Linked DNA regions of Tribolium castaneum. The protein of the gene in region 3 interacts with the protein of the main gene of each other region in a pairwise test. Links are inferred from orthologs where the notes say so. Each region holds a gene or a part of one and is shown on either strand. Other genes may lie near its edges. The genes, in order: Rsph3, rin and sina.

The links.
Region 1: the proteins of sina (region 3) and Rsph3 interact in a two-hybrid assay, tested with the Drosophila melanogaster proteins (2 studies listed by BioGRID). The link is inferred for Tribolium castaneum from reciprocal best matches to the Drosophila melanogaster genes sina and Rsph3.
Region 2: the proteins of sina (region 3) and rin interact in a two-hybrid assay, tested with the Drosophila melanogaster proteins (2 studies listed by BioGRID). The link is inferred for Tribolium castaneum from reciprocal best matches to the Drosophila melanogaster genes sina and rin.

What each region holds. Positions count from the first base shown.
Region 1 is NC_087398.1:5,701,311-5,705,415, reverse strand, and holds the start of Rsph3 (radial spoke head protein 3 homolog), read left to right. Parts: upstream 1-1,168; 5' UTR 1,169-1,486; coding exon 1,487-2,193; intron 2,194-3,710; exon of another isoform or gene 3,711-3,792; intron 3,793-4,105.
Region 2 is NC_087397.1:6,619,652-6,623,901, reverse strand, and holds the start of rin (ras GTPase-activating protein-binding protein 2), read left to right. Parts: upstream 1-1,365; 5' UTR 1,366-1,525; intron 1,526-1,868; exon of another isoform or gene 1,869-1,883; 5' UTR 1,884-1,932; coding exon 1,933-2,030; intron 2,031-3,645; coding exon 3,646-4,250. Other genes in the region: sqd (RNA-binding protein squid), read left to right, coding at 109-171, 555-640.
Region 3 is NC_087403.1:8,292,007-8,294,513, reverse strand, and holds the end of sina (E3 ubiquitin-protein ligase Siah1), read left to right. Parts: intron 1-714; coding exon 715-971; intron 972-1,021; coding exon 1,022-1,202; 3' UTR 1,203-1,897; downstream 1,898-2,507. UniProt on the Drosophila melanogaster protein: E3 ubiquitin-protein ligase that is required for specification of R7 photoreceptor cell fate in the eye by mediating the ubiquitination and subsequent proteasomal degradation of Tramtrack (ttk).

The DNA.
Region 1 (4,105 bases), on a different chromosome or scaffold from region 3:
ATGTTCATCATATTTATGACATATTAGAAAAATACTGTTAACGGCAGCTAATTTTGCACCAACTTAAGATTGTTGCTGTTCTGTTTGATTTAAGAAAGTTTATATCATTTTTGTTTGTTAAGGAAGTAAAATTAGTATGCCTGTAACTGTGTCACCCGATGAATGTTTGATCTAGACAATTCTAAAAAATGAATCGATCCTTGGGGGTAATACACTTCATTGGATTCAGGTTAAAGACCAATTTTCTAGTTAACACTTTTTGAACATAACAAGGAAAAAAATAACGGAGCCTGAAGTAACCATACACATAGTTTACAAAGTAAAAACACAGATAAATAATTACTAATAATAAATTTTTAAAATTTCATTTTTCACACGTGGCGATTCGTCTAATGAAAACAATCGTTTTGTAAATTACTTAATTATCGATTATGTATCAGCTACTTATCTATTAATATGATGATTGACCCAAAAGTGCACAATAGCTGATAACATTAATGATAACATTCAATAAATCAATCATAATTCAATTTAGAGGAATAGGTAGGTATGAACTCATAAAGCTGCAACTGCGAAAAATTAATACAATACAATTACAATTACAATAATTCTTTTTATTTATTAACAAAAATGTTGAAGGACAAAGAGAGTAATTTAAAATGAGCAATCCCTTTTCTAAGTTTAGCCCACCTAAATCCGGTCATTAATTTTTATCGCTTTTTATGACCTCAGAAGCCGAGGGTACTTCACCCTTGACCGTGAGCTGAAACAACCAACCATTGTGATGGCGTTCGCCGATGACCGACAGATATGCTAATACCTTTACTGCGGACATTTTGAAAGTCACGACATGCTACCAATAAGACGCTTGTTTTATTTCCAACATTCCGTTTTTAATTGCTGTTGGAACAACATAAAGAATGTCCGTCTGTGTTGAAAAGATTATCGGAGAGTTCAACGAAACTACAAGGACGAATCAGTTTGGAAAATTGTTTTTGAGTTATAGGAATTGCAAGTTTTGTTAGTTTTATTAACAATTGATTAAGAATGTTTTGCTAATTTGTGGTATGAAAATCAATAGCGGCTATAGTTGTAAGAACCTTCTTCAGCAAGCCGCCCCCAGTAGCCATGCGCCGCCACCTCTTCAAACCGCCTTCGAATGGACAACGGTCAGTTGTGAAAGACCGGTCAATCGTAACATATGTCGGCGTCGCGACGCCGATCCGAAAGACCGACGAAATAATGTGATAGTTAAAAGTGAGCTTTTCCACACAAAAAGTGAAAACCCAATATCGATACTAAAGAAAATTATTTTTGGAGTAGCTAGAACCGAATAATAGATGATAGAAAGTTTATTTTTAGTCCAACTTTTTCAATAATTAATTATAGGCAATATAATCGAATATAAGCAATAAGTAGATTAGAATTTCTGGAATTGGAAGGCTGAAAAAGAGACTGTCAAGATGTTTTATTGAAATTGTTACCGATGACCGACTTAGCGATGCCTCCGGTAGTTTCGATTTCTTCGGACGAAGTCGACGATGATGTGGCCTTTAAAGTCCTCAACCAAGACAACCTCCCCATAACCATAATAGGGGAGGCAATTCTGAAACCCTTCGGCCGCGAAAACCAAAAACAGAAACCGAACGGAATCGTCTATCCAACTCGACGCATTGACACCAACTTGGAAGAAAACAAACAGAAAACCTTTACCAGATCAAACGGCCACATCAACACCACTCAAGACAAAAACAACTACAACCTCAAGAAGAACTTTAGCAATTCCCACGGGAATTTAACGAGCGCTACAAAAATCAAACCGCAAGAACAAGTCGATACAAAATTCACCAAAACGCTCGACGCTAAACTGCGAAAGCTCCAGAAAGAGTCGAAAAGTAAGAATGATAATGGCAGGAAGCCGTTTGTTACGACGGTAAAGAAGGGGCAGTTTCTGGAGCCGCCCCCGGAAATAGCCACTTTGATTGGCATTAAAGTGGAGGAACCGAAGCAGAAAGAAATTAAAAAGTTGTACGCGTATGCAAGCGAGCCGAGGGTGTTGAACAGAACACCGGCGAAGAACGTTCACAAGGCGAAATGTGAGGCGGCGGCGAAGGCGGCGGCGTGCGTGGTTGCCGGGGTGGCGGGGATTCAAACCGATCTAGATGTTAACAGTAATGTCAACAAACGAGCTTTGTAAGTTCTGGGAAATAATTGCGGTACAGACACGTGTTTCCAAATTTATCACAATGTGCACGCACTTAGATATTTTTCAGCTTTTTAATAATTTTTTTACACTGAAATACAAACATAACAGCTGCTTATTGAACATTAGATATCAAATTGACAAAAAAATAATTAGATTAACTATTCTCCAACTGTGGGTTTTTATTTACCCGGCGCCTCCACCATTTTTAACCAACTCTTCGAACTTTAAATTAGAAAACTGTTTCTTTTTTATTTTCTGCAAGCATTTTAAATTAAAATGAGGTTAGAGAATAAATTACTTAAGGTGTACTACTTGTATAAATTAGAATAACGTACTGACAGGTATGCAAAATATAGTCGAAATTATTACCGCTTATTCGAAATTGCATGAAGCTACAGCGCACTATTTAAAAAATAAAAAGTCTTGAACCCGTTTTCGTGTTAGCAGACTATTGACCCTTAGATTTTGTTTCACCAAACTTTACTTTACACATTCACGAATACCAAATCCTCATTTGAAATAAAAGTCGGATTGACCCGATTTCAGCTAAATAATGTAAAATGTGGCTGTCTATTTGAAAACAGGAAATGGCACTAGGCCGAAGTGTTATCCCGTATTTTCCTCTACAATTTCTCATGAATAATAAATGAGCTGATTGTATAGTTTCCCCTTCAATGTAATAAGGGTTTTTGCAGACTGACGTAAAGTTTTAAAGTTTCATTCAAGGTAAACGTAGATCTGGGTTATGATTATTTTATGACAAAATATCGATTAGTTCACTGTACTCTACATTTTTATTATATTTTTAAAAAGCCAAAACTGCACGTGAGTGGAACTTTCTATAATTAAATTGCCACTCAAGTTTATTAGATTTACACTTCAAAGAGAAATAGCATTGTTTTATCCCTAAACTGAATTATCTTCTTGTCTCCAGCGTTTAATTTAAAATAATTTATTGAAGAAATGTGCGTGCCATGATTAAAAAATGAGCGGTACAGTCATGCCAGAATGTGCTTAATATGTTAAAAACACATTTGACTTTACAAGGTGTTGAAATATTCTTACAATTTATAGTTTTTGCCAACGTGATAACCTATTTGCAATTATATTACGAATACACTTGACCATTATTATTGATGTAGACTTGTAAAAAGCAAATTTTTTATGTTATTGTTAATTAGAAAAATTTCGACATATTTCCTTTCTTCCTAAACTTATTAGCAAACGTGAATTGGTAAAAACAAAGAACTCGGCATACTATTGTGCAAAGAAATAAACTGAAAAATTAGAATCTTATTAGGTGATAGTTCATTAGACTCACTAGTCAATACACTGGTAGTTACAAGCTATTTATAGTAACTTCTCTTATGAAATTATAATGCAACCATTAGTCGAAAATTCAATAAGGTGTATTAGTTTTATCTTTCAGCGTAAAATAAAAATGTTCTAATTTTAAAGTAGGATTCGAACTTTCGTTCGCGTCAGTGAAAGTAGCAGGATATAAGCAGTCATGGCCGAGCGGTTAAGGCGTCTGACTAGAAATCAGATTCCCTCTGGGAGCGTAGGTTCGAATCCTACTGACTGCGAAACATTTTTTTTTGTATTATTAGAATATTACAGATACTTTAGTGCATTTAATAATAGAACAAGCTCCACCTCGTTAATGCTATTACGCTAATCTCCAATCTTTAATCAAGATCGATGCTATTTTTGGCGAAATTATGAGTGGGAAATCCGGATAATCAGTAATCAGAATCGATTACCTGCTAGTTACTTATGTAGATTAGGAACAGTTCAAGGCAATCTCATTAAAATCCTAAGAAGTCAATCATCATCAAAATATCGAAGAGGAGGAATCTCATCGCGTGTTTGCCTTTAAACGTTCTGTTTTGGTTTTAC
Region 2 (4,250 bases), on a different chromosome or scaffold from region 3:
ACAAAATTATTAGACAATGTAGTGAAGGAAAACATGTCCGTAATTTTCTTTGGTTTTGCTTATAGTAGAAAACAGTTAACTGATATTTTTTTGTTTACGTGAATGCAGACTATGGATATGGTAACTATGACGGAGGATATGGTGGTGGTCGCAGTGGTGCGCGCGGAAAAGGTACATACTGATCATGTTACATTTATTGTTACTGTGTGTTGTTTCAAATTCAAATTAGATTTTTTAGTAAACAAATTTGTTTTAATGTAGCAATAGTCGTAACCTGCGTTTACCCAAAAAAAAATCAGTAAGACCATCGTGTATTTTTTCACTGCGTCACGTACTAATCTTTAAAAAATTAGTAAATGACCATTGTAGGGTTGCAGCATTCTAATTTAAATAAAAATGAAGTGATTATATCTTTTAAAAAAATGAGTATTTATAAAAAGTATTTTGAAGAACAAACTGGCAAACAAACAACGCAGGTGGCGAGAATATTTTGAGTTTTATTAGTGAGTAGGATTTATCACTAATTAAATTTTTATACTGCTTGTTCTTTTCAGGTGGCTCCGGGGGTTATCAGGGTGGTAAACAACGAGGAGGTGGTGGCGGCGGTGGCGGCCGTAACCAAAGGCATCAACCCTATTAGATTTAGTTGTAGTACACATTTTGGTATGTGAGTTGGTCTGACTGATAGCCTGTTTGATCATCTACTTTTTTTATAGATGTTTCTCAGTTACTTTTTTTATTTGATATTTCGATTGATGATTTGAATATGATCATTCCACTTCTCATCTGTCAATTTTTCGTATCGAATTTGTACAGAACATTTAAGTTTCTATAAAGCATAAAAAAGCCGTTTATTTTTTTTAAACGTCAGGAATGCCAAGCCGGTTTTTCATTGTATTACGTTAACTTAAGTGATAGTGTAATTTTAGAGTAAGTTTATGTAATCTGTGTAGGGGGGCATCATGTACTTCCTCCACTGTATGACAATTTAATAATAAAAAATTTGTGTACATAATTTATCATCATTCAGGTATATCCTCTACATGTATTATAATGTGTGTCCTGATTAATTTAAAGTTTTTTAATTTCTATTGTGACAGTTCGCCGTTGTGGTCTAATAAAATTTGGAAATAAATAGAGTACATTTTTACTGAAACTGTTGATTTTCTTCCGCCACCCTTCATGTGTTTAATAGTTCTAAAGGTGCAAGCCAACAGCATAAGCGACGAAATGGTGCATGTGAATCCCTCCATTTTCTGTAAATTTTAAGTTTGGCGCCAAATCAATACAGGGTACTTCCGTTTGTGCATGCGTATTGATAGAAGAAATCCTGGGTTCTAGATTAAAAAACGTCCTTGAGTGGCGCTGTCGGCTAAGGTGTCCAAAATCGTAACTAAATTGGCAATTTATGAAGTTTACACCCGTGGTTTTGCGGCGTTTGTGCATTTCAATCACATTTCTACCGTGTTAATAATTAAATTTAACCGAAAATACTTCCTTAGCTCGCTTCGCCGACTATCTAGAGGTAAGTGAATGAAAGCGCGACTTTCTTCCCCCTTTTTGGTTCATTATCACATACCGGGTTTTCCTGGATTCGACATGGACAATGATCCATTTTCTCGCCGTGCAGAATTTGCGGTTATTTCACCCTATCCTGACTATTTGTTTACTTCTTGGCCCCCGAATTTCCCTTCTAACGCCTCGATGGAAGGAAATTCGAAGCCCGGACTGGCCTCAAGGCTTGATTCGGTGAAAATTTCGTTATCTGCATTCCATGTGTGCAATAATTATGGAATCCCTTTGTCTATCACATTTTAACATTTTTTTCCTCCGAATTATTGGGATTATTTCCTAAGGCGTGCTGGTAGTTTTGCCGTTTTCAGGCTTCTTTGCTGGTGCACGTTTTCTCAAGTTGTAAATAACTCTTCAGGAATGGTAATGGAGGCTCCCCCATCTCCCCAAAGTGTAGGAAGGGAATTCGTTCGACAATACTACACTTTGCTGAACAAGGCCCCTGCCCATCTACACCGGTAAGCACATTTTTACACCCAAAAATCAGCCAAACATATTTATCACCTGTGTTAATTGTTTCAAATATGCAAATTTTTACCAAGTGTTGAGCGATAGGTAGGATTTTCAAATGAAATTCGCTATAATATTTATTTCTGTTTGATGTTTTGTAACAGTCTATGAGGTGTAATATGTGGCGATTTATTTAACAACAATAAATGTGGATGCACGCCCATGCTGCATTACGAATTCCATATCAATATGTTTATTTCTTATAGTTTTATTGGCCAATTGTTCATAGGCGTCGAGTTGGAGGAACGGTCATTGAACTTTTGTAAAAAAATCGCTATCAACATCACAAAAAATATTAATTTGTTTACCAAAATCAATTTGAGTTTCGTTTGTAGAGAAAACCGTACAGATATTTTAGTTGTATTCCTAAATTCTGCTTAATTTTTCTCGGTGTGATAGTTACAGAAAGTGTCCTTGCAATGCGTTAACTAGTGAATTTTTATTTTGAACAAGGTTACGAAGGTAAGATACCTACTGTTTTATCAATACACTAATTAGATTAATTTTAATTGCACAGCAGTGACTATGATTTATTTATTTATTTTGAAAAAACTTAATTGAAGCATGGATAATTCATTTCCCAAAGCTTCAATTCGAGGTGAGGCATTTTTACAAGAATGACCTTTAAACCATATTACATCACACACGTGAAAACAACTATTACGAGCATTCTACAAACCAAAATAACAAAAAATGCTTATAGGTATAATAATACTCATTGAACTATTTTTTAGTTAAATTAAAATAAATATGATTTATTAGCATCGATTTGAAATATTTTTACGTGTTTTATAAGAGCGTTTACGGATCAATAAACTAAACGAATCCTTCACAGTTCACAAGATTTTGGTTTCGATTGTATTTGCGAGTATTTACATATTAATTTATGGGTCGGTTTAGAGAAAGAAGTCGTAATTATATTCTGGAATTCTATCGAATTATACTTTTGAAAGCTTTGGCTTTCATTCAGTTTTTCAGAAGACTTTTCTTATCAAACCTTAAGGTAAGGTCAGGGGAGTATTACCTAAGATTTTTTTCAAAAATGAAATGTCAAGGGTACACATTACACAAACTCGTAGTAGCTGTCCTAACCTTACACAGGGTTTAGCTAAAACAGAATTATCTTTTTTGCAAAAGATTAAGACAGAGTATTTATTGACGTTATTTAATAATTTTTTACTTCAAATTAAATTAAAACAAATTGTGTAGAAGAAGGTAAACTACTTTCTGCATCAATAATTCGGAATCATTGTTCTTGCAAGTGCTTTTTACTGCTCTTAGTGTAATGTCTCAATTGAAGCTATCTGACTTAAAAGATTTAAACATATTCGTGGGAAACAAAAAGCCATCTATCGTGACCCAGTTGCTGTAATTTGGGTTTTTATGTAAAGTATTTACAATCGTCTTAGCTTCTTAATGTATTTTGATTTTTTCTGAAGTATTACGACACTACCATCAGGAACTGATAAAGTTTCCTCTGTATTTATTTTAACAAATTTGTCTAACGTAACAAAACGTCGATCAAGACGCTACGAGAAAGGTACATAATTTGTGATTTCTCAGATTTTACAACCAAAACTCCTCTTTCATCCATGGCGGTTTGGACCCTCCAAACCGGGAGACCAGCCCTGTCATCGGCCAGAAACAAATCCACCAAAAAATCCAGCAGCTGAATTTCCACGACTGTCACGCTAAGATCACCCAAGTCGACTCCCAAGCCACTCTCGGCAGCGGTGTCGTCGTCCAGGTGACCGGCGAGTTATCCAACGCCGGTCAGCCGATGCGCCGTTTCACTCAAACCTTCGTATTGGCCGCCCAAAGTCCCAAAAAGTACTACGTTCATAATGACATCTTCAGATACCAGGACGAGATCATCTCCGACGAGGAATGCGAACCGGAAAACCGCTCCGAACCGGAAGACGAGACTTCGCAAGAGTGCCCGGTTTTGAACGACGTCCAGCAGATGAACCAAGCCCCCATGAATTACTACAACCCGACTAACATTGCGCCGGTGCCCCACCACCAGCCCCCGCATGTTCTAGCCCCTCCGGCGGTGCCCCAGGTCAACGGAGCCGTGCATCCTGACGATATCAACGTGATGCCCGGACCGGTGCCCCATGTCAACGCCGCGGGCCAAGGACAGGTCCTTCCGACACCCATCACCACCA
Region 3 (2,507 bases):
ATATTGAAGTTATTGATATAAATATGGAATTTTAAATAAATGATACGTGTTAGTCATTGTCGAACAATCCTGATCGCATAGAATTTGATCAACAATAAAATGAATTATTTTTGAAATCTAATTAATAATTATAGTTTCGATTTCCTAGGAAATAATACACGGTATTGTCAAACTACAAGTTTTGATTTTTTAATGAATTTCAGTGTTTTACATTAAAAAACTGATATAGACGGTAAGGAGGTTCAATAATATTATGTATATATTACATTTTTTCGCAGTCGGCTCTAAAATTCTTTAAAATCTTCAGTGAGTTTTGGGTTTTTTAGCACGGGATCGTCTAAGACCAATTCATATAAGCGTTTTCGGTCAAAATAAGCTGATTTCAGTCTTTCACGATCAATTTTCGCGTTTTTTAGCAAGAAATTGCCGAAAACAAGCGTTTTCATATAAACTGGTGGATAAATCGGCGCTAAGGGCTTTAGGAGTTCCGGAGCGTTCATAGCATCATGTGCAAGGTTTTAGTCAAATTAACTTAAATAAAATATATTTATACTTATCAGTGGTAATAATAATCTCGGAACTGACGTAATTTTGGATTACTCGTCAACTAGACACATTCGTGACATTAACAAGGTGTGCACCTTTTTAAGAGTGACTTTTGCCTCGGTGTGGGTGCACGTGGCAGTGCGTAGTAAAAAAATGTTTGGGGCGCAGGGTCAGTTAGATAAAGTAATGGTACATCTGCAACATTCCCATAAAAACATAACAACGCTCAACGGCGAGGACATCGTTTTCCTGGCCACTGAGATCAACTTGGCCGGTGCTGTCGATTGGGTGATGATGCAGAGTTGTTTCGGTCATCATTTTATGCTAGTGTTGGAAAAACAAGAGAAGAATGATGGTCATACCCAATTCTTTGCAATCGTTCAGTTGATCGGCTCGCGCAAACAGGCCGAACATTTCGCCTATAGGTCAGTCCCAGCGTTTTGTTCTTTAGTATTCACAGTGTTTTTTTATTTAGACTGGAGCTTAACGGAAACAGGCGACGTCTGATCTGGGAAGCCATGCCGAGGTCCAGCCATGAGGGGGTCGCTTCGGCCATTATGGCCTCCGATTGTTTAGCGTTTGATAATTCTATAGCCCAACACTTTGCTGACAACGGAAATTTGGGTATTAATGTTACCATTTCTCTAGTATGTTGAGCCTTCAGTTCGATTATTTTTCGATGATTAATTAGCATGTAAAGTTAATATATACATATCCTATACATTATTGTTCATTTAAAACTTTTGTTCGTTTAGTTTGTGTGACAAGATTTTGTTTTGAGACTTTACTTTGAGTTTACTTTTTTGATCAACTGCTTCGAAATGGCATTGTTTTATGATATATACTTACATATTGCTGTGTTTAATGGATTTTTCGTTTCGTTGCGAATAAACTTAATCAAAAAACTACTGTAGTCCAATAATTTATTACCTCACAGTGATACACAAAAGGTAAGGTCGAATGTGTTACGTTGCAGGTCAGCCCAACTAATAAATTGTGATAAACATATTTCTTCTAATACCCACTTTGCTATAACCGTTTTGAAACTAGTGCAGGTTTTATGTACATTACTTTCCACATTTTGTTATCTAATATTTAGTGTAAAAAACCCACCTCTTGTAAGATTAATTTACGTGTGTTCAATTTGTGGAATTCGTTTGCTTATGGGTTTTAGCTTAAGTTGTCATAAGTCGTTATAGTTGTTATGTTAGATGATAAATTTGTCCTTGTACATTGTAATAATGGGCACTATTTATTTAATGACTATTCAACTACTTGTAGTTTATATGTTCGATTATTTCTGCTTCGCTTAATGTAAAATACGCAATAAATTTTGTTTAACTTTCTAAAACTGAAGTTTATTTCAAACCCTAGCCCTTCGATTCGGTAAAACACCGAAGAGGTGTGGCGCTCGGTGCACACTTTTAAAGCGCCATCTCTTACAATTACGTTGAGTTTACACGAGAATCAACGGTTGCCTACACTATAGGGGAAAATGTACCTAAAGGAGTAATGATTTTTATCGCAATAAAAATCTTATCGTGATGATGAGATAATAAGTAGTAACAATAACCGATCTTTGAGTCACATAAAACATGTGCAGCCATGCAAACCATGTGAAACAACCTTTGATAGGGCTGAGAAAAATATTCGTAACTAAAAATACTTTTTTTTTGAAAAATATAAAGTTAAAAAATTTCGGAAGGATACGCTAATGCGCCCGTTTTTGATAATGCTGTGCAAGTCGTTCGGAAAAAGAATAAAGTAAGCTAAAAAATAGCTCTCAGGGGAAAAGCAATTTCTAATGCAAGCAGTGTCAGCGTCGTCAGCCTTTTCCTTAGTCTTTAAAGCTTCATTATTCATTAGTCTGAAGTGGTAGTTTTAAACATGAAATCGATTTTTATGCACTCGTACAATAGTAGTCTACTGTGTGTAACTTTTTAACTCAGATTGTTACGCCT